Linked DNA regions of Ovis aries. The protein of the gene in region 3 interacts with the protein of the main gene of each other region in a biochemical or structural test. Links are inferred from orthologs where the notes say so. Each region holds a gene or a part of one and is shown on either strand. Other genes may lie near its edges. The genes, in order: SIAH2, SIAH1 and SNCA.

Region 1 (3,755 bases), on a different chromosome or scaffold from region 3:
TCCCCCACCTACTCACCCAGCTTCCACAAAATATCTCAAACCTCAAATATCCACTCTTATGTCACTAATCACCAAATCTTCTCTTGGTCACTAGGCTACCACCTTGTTCATGACCCTAAGAAAATTTTGAAACTGTTTTGTGTAAATTTTATGACAAACTACTACTGGGCTGGGTGCATTAGTAAGCATTGCATGAGGAGTGGTTCAAAGCATGATAATTTATTAGGGTTGACTGAAAACCCAGAGCTCAAACACAAGTTCAAACGCTTATTTGAATATGCTATTTTAAACCCTATTTGTGGCAGGACACAGACCAAATTAAATCACTCATTTTACTGACATTCGTCCCAAGCTTCAGTTCTCTGGTGGATTATTTTTAATTTAAAAATAAGCCCTTGCCCTATAAAAGTAAGCAGCAGCAAAGAGAAATCAATGCCAGAGAGCCTAAATGGCCCATGAAGCGCTTTACCAAAAAAACTCCAAAAATATTAATGACATTATTTCTAAGTTTAAAAAATGAGATGTATGGTAAAATTCTAGGTTATAATGCGGTAATATAGATAGATACGTCTCTATCTGCTCCTGAAACTGCTCCTGAAGATTTTTACCCAAAAGATGTAAACTGATGTTACAGTATGACCACACAATGCAAAATTATGCAGCCATTTAAAATACAATGAGATAGACTTAGGCTGCAGACATATAAAAACATGTGTGATGAAACGAACTTAAGTCAGCAAGCTGCAGAAGCCATTTTTGGAGAAAAACTTACGTGTGCATATATAAACCTTCCTGACATTAACATCGACCATTCTATATTCAGCTGCGGAGAGTGTATTTATACATGGTTAGAAAAAACTCCATGCAGATGCATACTAAACCTAACATTGGTGGGAAAGGAGACGTTTGGGTCTTTCACTTGTCTCAGTGATGTGCCCTTTTTTTTTTTTCTTTTGCAAGAGCACTGATAATTTTTTAACTAAACAAAAAATAAAGTGGTGGGCTTTAAAGAACTGTAACAACAGCTCCTGCGTGCCCTTCCAGTTAAATTCCCCATCAACTCTTGTTTTCTCCCCACTTAGTAAAATAACACAACTCATCAGTCCTTGGAAGGCTAGGAGAGGGAAAGGCGTGGCTTACAAGGTTTTCTTGTTGGAGGAAAACAGGCTGTAGGCGCCCTTTTTTTTTTTTTTTTTAGCTACACTCCCGAGGGCTCCCACGTGTCAGGGGTGCGCAGAAGGCAGACGCGGGGGGGGGGCAGGAGGAATCCAGGACCAGTCCTTCCAAGCCCAGCGCTGGCGAGGGGTGCGTTTAATTCGCTCCTTTCCCCTCTCCTCTGTCCCCCACAGATAGTCAGCTTCTGGGTCCAAGTTTTCCTTCGGCGGCCCAGCTCTACCCAGGCTGAGTACACGTCTGCAGAGTACGCAGGCTCCGGGTGGGGACAGCGTGATCGCGTGCCAATCAGGCTGGGGTCAGTGATCGGGCAGCAGTCGGCCCAGAGCTGCTCCCAAAGTGGACAGGTGGCATGGGGGAGGGCGAACACGGTGTAAACTTTTTTTCCCCCCCAGTTAATGAGAGAAGCCCACTGCCTCTCAGCGCCCGCGAATGGGCTGGGGACACAGGAGTCCCAGGAGGTCGCCGGGCGGTGGTGCGTGGCTGGCACCTGGGCTTACCTTGCAGGGAAACAGAACTGCCGAGGCCACCTTCTCCATAGCCAGGTTCCTGATGCTGGGCGTCAGGGCGCCCCGGCACGTCGGGCAGCAGCTCAACTTCTGGCGGCATTGGTTACACACCAGGTGCCCGGCCTGGCACTGCAGGATGGGAGGCAGGACATAGTCAAAGCACACCGGGCACTCGAAGAGCGAGGTCAGCTCGTGGTGCTGCGGAGACACTGGCCCAGCCCCGCCGCCGCCGCCGCCGCCGCCGCCGGGGCCCGAGACCACCGCCGCCGCGGCGGGCACCGCGGACGAGCCGGGGCCCGCAGCCGAGATGGTGGCGGCGGCCGGGGGCGCAGCCGGGGACGGAGCGTGCTGTGGCTGCGGCGGCGGCTGCTTGCTGCAGGGTTTGTTAGCGCTGGGGCCGGTGGAGGACGGGCGGCTCATTGCGCTCCGAACCAACCATGGAACTGCGGGCGTCTGCCTGCCGCGGGGCCGCCGGGGTCAAGGCGGTGCGCGCCCCGCGGGCGGCGGGCTCCTGGGCAACGCCACCGCGCCCAGCCCGGGACCGAGCAGCGGAGACGATCGGCGCCGGGCAGGATGGAGGGCTGGACCGCGCTGACGATCTCCGCGGTCCCCGGCGCTCCGAACACCCCTTCGAGCCCCCAAACTCCTCCTCCCGGCGGTGTCGCGGCCCCGAAGCCGAGCGGCGCGCAGAACCCCGGCCCACCAGCTACCGGAGCGGCCGCTGACGCAAGCCCCGGGGGCGCGCGCGGACGTGACGCTTGGACACGTGTGCGGCCGCCCGGGCGCGCGGGGACTGGCAGAACCACCCGGAGCTGGAGCTCCGGCTCCGCCCGACTCCAGCTGGCAGCGCTGGGGACCGCCTAGCGCCAGCGCTTCCTGCCTGGGCTGCGGTCCCGGCCCGCGCCAGTGAGCATGCCCGGCTCGCCGCTGCCGCCGCGCGGGGTCTCCTTTTCCGGGCCGCGGAGGAGTCCGCCCTTCGGCAAGGCGTCGCCTGAGTTCTTCGGCCACACCCCGGGGAGTCACGCCAACGCGTTCCGCGGGCTCAGAGCCGAAGGATAACTTTAGGCGGGGCGGGGGCTTGGGTGGGGGGGGGGGCGGGGCGGGACGCGGGTGCCCCAGGGACAGGTCGGAAAAAACCGAGAGGTTTCTTTTCCCAGGGTTGAGTCAGCAGCACGCGGGGGAGGCGTGACCGCGGTCAGGACGGCTCTTACTTAGACCCGGAGCTTTGGGCGGGAGCAGGGCAAGGGGCTCGGGATGGGTCTGCAGCGGGCGCAGGACCTAGTGCTGGGATGTTAAGGATATGTTTGGACCACTCTTTGGTCCTGCTCTTCCCAGGGGGAAAGGAGGTAAACTAGTCTTTTACCATTGGCCCTGCCAAAGCCTTCGTTGAATTGAGTTGAGCGCCTCTGACTTGCTAGAGGGCCAGGGAGGGAGTTCACGGACAGAGTTAACTAAAAGGAGTTCGAGATCGCCAGAATCTAAGAATGCCAGAAATGCGGCTAGGGTCCTGAAACCCCGGGAAAACAATGGATGATGCTCCAGTATAACGCATCTTTATCTTTGAGATCCCGCGGAAGTCCAAGACTTTGATGGCAAGGTGTGGGCCCTGGCCCCACACGCTCAGCCGAAGCCCTGGAGTGAGAACCGCAAGTTAACGTGTACGGAGTTGAATTGCTTTTCTGCAACTTTGACCCACTGACACTGGAATTGAGGCAATGAACTATGTAGCTGGGACTCAGGTCTTTCTTTGTAGGAGAGGCAGTGGTAAAGACTAGGTGAAAAATGGGCCTCTGCTTACCATCAATGTGACTTTGGACAAGTTCTTTATTTCTTTGTGCCTCAGTTTCCTCATTTGAGAAAGTGGAATAAAAACAGTACCTATCTTATGGGTGGGATAGTGAGGATTAAATGAGTTTGTTATATGCCAAGAACCTGGCCCATCATAATAGCTGGTTAAAAGTTTAGCAGTTATTTTTAAAAAGTAGTATTAGGGAATGTTTAATAATATTAATGAGTCCTCAGTGAATAAAATTTGTCCAAAAAATAGACTGTTAGAAGCCAGAAGAAAGTTTA
Region 2 (2,709 bases), on a different chromosome or scaffold from region 3:
TCCACGGGTCACCAAGAGTTGGACACAACTGAGCGACCTCACTTTTCTACCTTTAGGGTACCCATAAAACCTGCACAAAATAAAATGATCTCTAGCCAATCAGAGGGCCATTTCAGAATCTTTCTAGGTGCTTCAGGGTAACTAGCAACAGTTAACTATATGGTGCTAGTTACAGGCATAATACAAGTATCTAACATTTGCTGGGTGCTTATTAATGCAGAGCACTGTCCTTGGTAACTTGTATCCATCCCATCTAACCCTTGAAGGTAGCTACCACAATTAACCCCATTTTACACACCAGTAACCGGGGGTGCAGCATCACACAGCTGATTAGTGAGTAAAGGCAGCACAGGCATGTAGGTCCCTGGAAGCTGGCTGCGGAAGCTAGGCTCTAACCACTAGGCGGCAGAACACTAACTCATTTTTTTGTTGTTAAAGGGGTGTGGGGGGGGTGGTTGGGGGTGGGGGAGTGATCAGTATTTTAACTAATTGGCCTCCTAATAGAGTTAGGAGAATCAAAATGAAAGCTGAGAAAGGAAGAAAAGACTGCAGGCCGAACAGAGGCCATAACCCATTCTTTTGCTTATCTTCAAACTTAAGAGCTAAAGCAGACACGTAAGAGTTTTTAATTTGCCAGATATTCTTTTAATGAGAATTATAAAAGACCAAAAACATTTTTTTGCAAACTGCTTTTTAAACAAATGATTTGCTTTTAATTACAAATACTGTGTGAGACGATGCCTTCTTTTGCAAAACCAATAAACACAAGAACAAATTTTAAACATATGTGATTTGTCCAAGATATGTGGGGGGAACGGAGAGCCTGATTTTTTTTTTCCCCAGTATTAAAAAAAAAAAATCAGTACTCCCTAACCTTACAAAGAATAAGTCTGAAGGTATGACTCAACTGGAGAAGAGAGGGAGACCATTTTAGAGCTGCTTTAACTAGTTTGATAATTCTTCTGATGTTATCTTTCCTGCTTTAACTAGTTTCTGACAATTCTTCTGATGTTCCTTTCTGAAACTCGTATCTTCACAAAACAGTTGAATTTAAAATATTTCTAATGAACTGATTAATGGGGGAAAAGAAAATATGTATCGAACACATGTATAAATTTTACCATCAACAATTATGCATATCAAAAAGACACTAACTTTAAAAGGTACAAAAAAAAAAGTGAGGAAAAACCTGAATTACAGAAAAGAAAGTCAAATTTATTTAATGAAAAACTATAATTAATAAAAATTAGCAAATACACACAGAAAAAAAATATACACACACAGCAGCACTATGTATTGACTCACATAGGGGAAAAGCAGTGGTCCAAGACCACTCAACATGGCTTGTCAGTTGAAGGAAAAAAAAATCCAAACATACTCACACGCGCACACACACACGCACAGGCACACAAAAAAACAAGAACCCAGTATTTTTCAACGGTACACTCAATCTACAACAAACACAAATTCAGAATTATGTTACAATGCTTCCTTTCTTAATACAAAAGATGCCCATCTTGGGTGTATATATATATATATTTATTTTTCAGTGGTTTACTGTTGACTTATTTTTAAATATATTAGTGTTATTACATGCAACTGTTTCCTGTATTTAACAGCCTTTCCTTTTATTTACCTTCATGTGTCTAGCTTCCACCTACCACAAGTTTTTGGTTGGTAGGCAGACAGGTGCCTTATTCTCTGTGAAATCAAATGCAATGGTTTTAAACACTGGCCAGAAAATGTCTGATTGCCATTTCAACACATGGAAATAGTTACATTGATGCCTAAATTGCCATTTTCTGCAAAGAGCTGTGCAATGCTGGTGTCAAAGACTAGGCAGTCACTATTCATAATGGCTGTTGCAATTCCCTCATGAATAGACCGAGGAGTGGCTTCCCAAGTCAATCGCCGCCTATGACCATTTAGCTCAAGTCGATAAGCAAAATTTTCAGCTTGCTTGCGTGTTCCTATCAGCTGTACAATTGCAAAGAATTGCTGGTGACCATCATATTTTTCCTGTTTCTCCAAGACCAACATGAAGTGAAAGCCAAAACAGGACTGCATCATCACCCAGTCAACAGCACCAGGAAGATTAATGTCTGTAGCAAGGAAAACTATGTCCTCTCCCTGCAGGGTTGTGATGGACTTATGCTGATGCATCAGATGCGGCATGACAGCATCCAGAGAGCCTTGCCATTTACAGGAAGCACCAGGGCACGGACAGGAATAAGGCCTAAACTCACAGAGCTCTTCGTGGTCTGCTTTTTCTGTGTGTGGCAGAGTTATTTCACATCCAGAAGAGGCGTATTTACAAGGGAAAAGTACTGAATTGGCCACTTTCTCCATAGCCAAGTTGCGAATGGATCCCAACGGGCCCCGGCAAGTTGGACAACATGTGAGCTTTGGGCGACAGTTGCTGCAAACCAGATGGCCACTCTGGCACTGGAGAATAGGTGGCAGCACATAGTCGAAGCAGACCGGACACTCAAAGAGGCTCGCCAGGTCATTGTTGGAGGCAGTTGTGCCCGTCAGGGCAGGCACCCTCTGGGACGGCGCACACTTTGAGGTTCCGGTAGGTAATGCTGTTGCAGTCTGACGGCTCATTTCTGTAATAAAAAACACAAATAAAAGTATAAGGAGGCAGGAGAAAATTAATTACAACTATAACATGTTTTATATAAATAACATTTACTTGCCTAAAATACT
Region 3 (3,655 bases):
GCTTTATGAGTGTAAGTGTTATAAGGTTTTAGTTCAGTTTAGTTGTTCAGTTGTGTCTGATTCTTTGCGACCCCACGGACTTCAGTATGCCAGGTTTCCCTGTCCATCACCAACTCCCGGACCTTGCTCAAACTCATGTCCACTGAGTTGGTGATGCCATCCAACCGTCTCATCCTCTGTTATCCCCTTCTCATGCGTTTGATCTTTTCCCAGCATCCGGGTCTTTTCCAATGAGTCAGTTGTTTGCATCAGATAGCCAAATTATTGGACCTTCAGCATCAGTCCTTCCAATGAATATTCATGACTGATTTCCTTCAGGATTGACTGGTTTGATCTCCTTGCTGTCCAAGGGACTCTCAAGAGTCTTCTCCAATACCATAGTTCAAAAACATGAATTCTTTATAGTCCAGCTCTCACATCCATACATGACTACTGGAAAAAGGTTTGGGTGGAGAGTTGTCTTGTTTCCCTTGACCTTGAAATTGTTAAAAGTGTAGAATCTCATCTTTAACTGCTTTTTCATAAAACTCTTAATTGAAACAGACTTTTTTTATTGCAGCTTTGTTTATTTGATATTTGTCTGGAGTTAATATAGAAAGATTAATTCAACAGTTATATATAGTCTTGGATAATTTTTGACATGAGATCGAATCTCTTTCTAAATCTAATCCCAAACTATTTATACCATCATCTTAAAATTTAACTCATTTTTAAAAGCCTACCGAATCTCCATATCTTATTTTTAATGAAAAGAAATTAAGTGTGCTCAACAAACAATTTCATTTCATACTTTAAGTCCAGCTCTTTTGTTCCCATTAAAATGACTGAAAATAAATCTTAACACTAAAACTCATTCTGTTTCAACTACCTGATGCTTCATAAAAGGATCAGCATAGTCATCCCTCCCTCTGTTTTATTTCTGATGGTACCATGTGAGAGCGTGTATGATTCTGTGACTCAGAAGGTGTGATGAAAAAAACATGCTGAGTGAGATCAAAGACTTGGCATTGAAATTGAAATAAAGAAATATTTCATGCAGAGTTTGATACAACTACACCTGCAAGCCTTGCTTTCTGTAAACTTTCTTTCATAAAATGTAAACCAGAGTGAAATTGCTTATAGCCCTAAATTTGTGATCATTAGGCTTGAAACACCTTTAAATATCTGCATGATTGCATAGACTGTCTTGGCAAAGAATCTGTGTTTGGCTAAGCCACGCTCACTTAGCAATCCCAGTAACTTTTTCTTCTCCTGACTCACCAGTTATCTACGTGTGTGAATATAGGTCTTTGGAAGTTGATGGTTAGTGGAAGTGAAATTATTCCTAGTGGCTGTTGGTCCACCATCCCTTAATCTGTCATTATTTTTGATTCATCCCAGTGGCTGAGAAGACCAAAGAGCAAGTGACAAACGTTGGAGAGGCAGTGGTGACAGGGGTGACTGCAGTGGCACAGAAGACAGTAGAAGGAGCAGGGAGCATTGCAGCTGCCACTGGCTTTGGCAAAAAGGATCATCTGGGCAAGGTAGGACTGTGTACATCTTGTTCCATTTCTAAGCTTGTGGATCACCATTGCATTTTCAGCAAGGCACAGAGGCAAGAATAAGATGCTTACTTGCGGGAGAGCTGACTGAGCTTCCCTCATTAAAAAAAAGTACTCCCTTTATATGTATTCTTTTTGGAGAAACTCACCCAGATAAATACTGTGAAAATCGCACAATAAATGTGATTGTTTTATTTCCTGGAAAAAAAAAGTTAATGAAATGAACAGTGTAACAAATGTTTAAAAGAGCCGTGACATTTCAGAAAGAATGGGTGCTTTTATGTTGGCTGTGAATCTTGGAATTTTTCTTTGTTGGAGTATAGCAAAGGCTTTGTGCCCAGTCTCTAAATGTTCAAAATGAAAATCTTTTACTTAATTTCTTTATAGTGACATCATCTCTTATTAAATGGCATATTTGCTTATTATATAACAATTCACTGCCAAATATATGTTTGTGGAAACGGAGGGGCTTGAACAATGATCATGGTTTTGGGGTGATTTTAAAATTCTCAGAATTCTTACTTTTCCTTTCTTGACAAATATGAGACTCTAGGAAAATTATCCAAGAGTTAGGACTTTCATTTTAAACAAATAAGCAACAGAAAATGAGGTATCAACTGGAAGATGAACATTTTACAAAATTCATCACCATAAGCAGATTCTTTTTTTTTTTTAATTGAAGTATAGTTGATTTATAATGTTGTGCCAATCTCTGCTGTACAACAAAGTGACTCGGTTATGGTCGTATATATATTCTTTTTTATATTTTTCCCATTATGGTTTATTCCAGGTGATTGGATATAGTTCCCTGTGCCACAGTAGGACCTTATTGTTGTCCATTCTAAATGTGATGACTTGCATCTACCAGCTTCCAACTCCCAGTCCATCCTCCCCTCTCCTCTCCATCTTGGCCACCACAAGTCTGATCCTATGTCTGCGAGTCTACTTCTGTTTTGCAGAGAGGTTCATTTGCATCCTACTTCAGATTTCACATATAAGTGGTGTCATATGGTATTTATTTTACTCTTTCTGACTTCGCTTAGTACGATAATCTCTGGTTGCATCTGTGTTGCTTCAGATGGCATGATTTTGTTCTTTTTTATGGCTGAGTAGAATTCCACTGTATATATGTCATGCCTTCTTAATCTGTTCATCAATCAATGGACGTTTAGGTTGTTTTCAAGTTTTGGCTATTGTGAATAGTGCTGCTACAAACATAGGGGTATATGGGTTCTTTTGAATTATAGTTTCGTCTGGGTATATGCCCAGGACTGGGATTGCTGGATCATATGGTAAATCTATTTTTAGTTATCTGAGGAACCATCATCGTGTTTTCCATAGTGGCTTCCCCAACTTATATTGCCACCAACAGTGTAGGAGAGTTCCCTTTTCTCTACACCCTCTCCAGCATTTATTATTGATAGACATTTTAACAAAGACCATTCTGACAGATGTGAAGTGGTACCTCATTGCAGTTTTGATTTGGATTTCTCTAATAATTAGCAATGCTGAACATCTTTTCATGTGCCTTCTAGCTATCTGTATGTCTTCTTTGGAGAAATGTCTATTATGGTATTCTCATTTTTTTGATTGAGTTGTTTGCTTTCTTATTATCGTTGAGTTGTATGAACTGTTTGTGTATCTTAGATATTAAGTCCTTGCCGGTCGCATCATTAGCAGCAGAATGATTTTTGTTTTTTCCCTGCCACAAAGGCTTCCTGGCTATTCTTTAAATCCATATAGTGTACCCTTGCCTTGACTCTTCCCACTGTCTAGAAAGCTCTTCTCCAGTGTAAGTAACCCTGACTCACTCCCTTATCTCCTCAGGTCTTTGCTAAATAACACCTTCTCAGTGAAGCCTACCCTGACCTATTTAAAATTAGAACCATTCTCCTTACCTCTGGTGTTCCTAATTTTTCTACTCTTTTTAAATTTTTGACCAAAGCATTTATCACCTTTAGAAATAATAACTGGCTTAATTATTTTTATGCATATTGTTTATTTTATTTCTTCCCTTCCCTTCCCGAAATGTAAGCACTATGAGGATAGAAGATATTAGTTTGTTCACTGATATTTCACAAGTGTCTAGAAGAGTACATGTAGGAGAAAATTAA

What was found.
Region 1: of the proteins of SNCA (region 3) and SIAH2, one has a biochemical effect on the other in vitro, tested with the Homo sapiens proteins (4 studies listed by BioGRID). The link is inferred for Ovis aries from reciprocal best matches to the Homo sapiens genes SNCA and SIAH2.
Region 2: the proteins of SNCA (region 3) and SIAH1 form a complex in vitro, tested with the Homo sapiens proteins (3 studies listed by BioGRID, with this or other methods). The link is inferred for Ovis aries from reciprocal best matches to the Homo sapiens genes SNCA and SIAH1.

What each region holds. Positions count from the first base shown.
Region 1 is NC_056054.1:238,088,412-238,092,166, reverse strand, and holds the start of SIAH2 (E3 ubiquitin-protein ligase SIAH2), read right to left. Parts: upstream 2,418-3,755; 5' UTR 2,103-2,417; coding exon 1,674-2,102; intron 1-1,673. UniProt on the Homo sapiens protein: E3 ubiquitin-protein ligase that mediates ubiquitination and subsequent proteasomal degradation of target proteins.
Region 2 is NC_056067.1:16,326,873-16,329,581, forward strand, and holds the end of SIAH1 (E3 ubiquitin-protein ligase SIAH1), read right to left. Parts: intron 2,610-2,709; coding exon 1,759-2,609; 3' UTR 623-1,758; downstream 1-622. UniProt on the Homo sapiens protein: E3 ubiquitin-protein ligase that mediates ubiquitination and subsequent proteasomal degradation of target proteins.
Region 3 is NC_056059.1:35,550,279-35,553,933, forward strand, and holds part of SNCA (alpha-synuclein), read left to right. Parts: intron 1-1,380; coding exon 1,381-1,523; intron 1,524-3,655. UniProt on the Homo sapiens protein: Neuronal protein that plays several roles in synaptic activity such as regulation of synaptic vesicle trafficking and subsequent neurotransmitter release.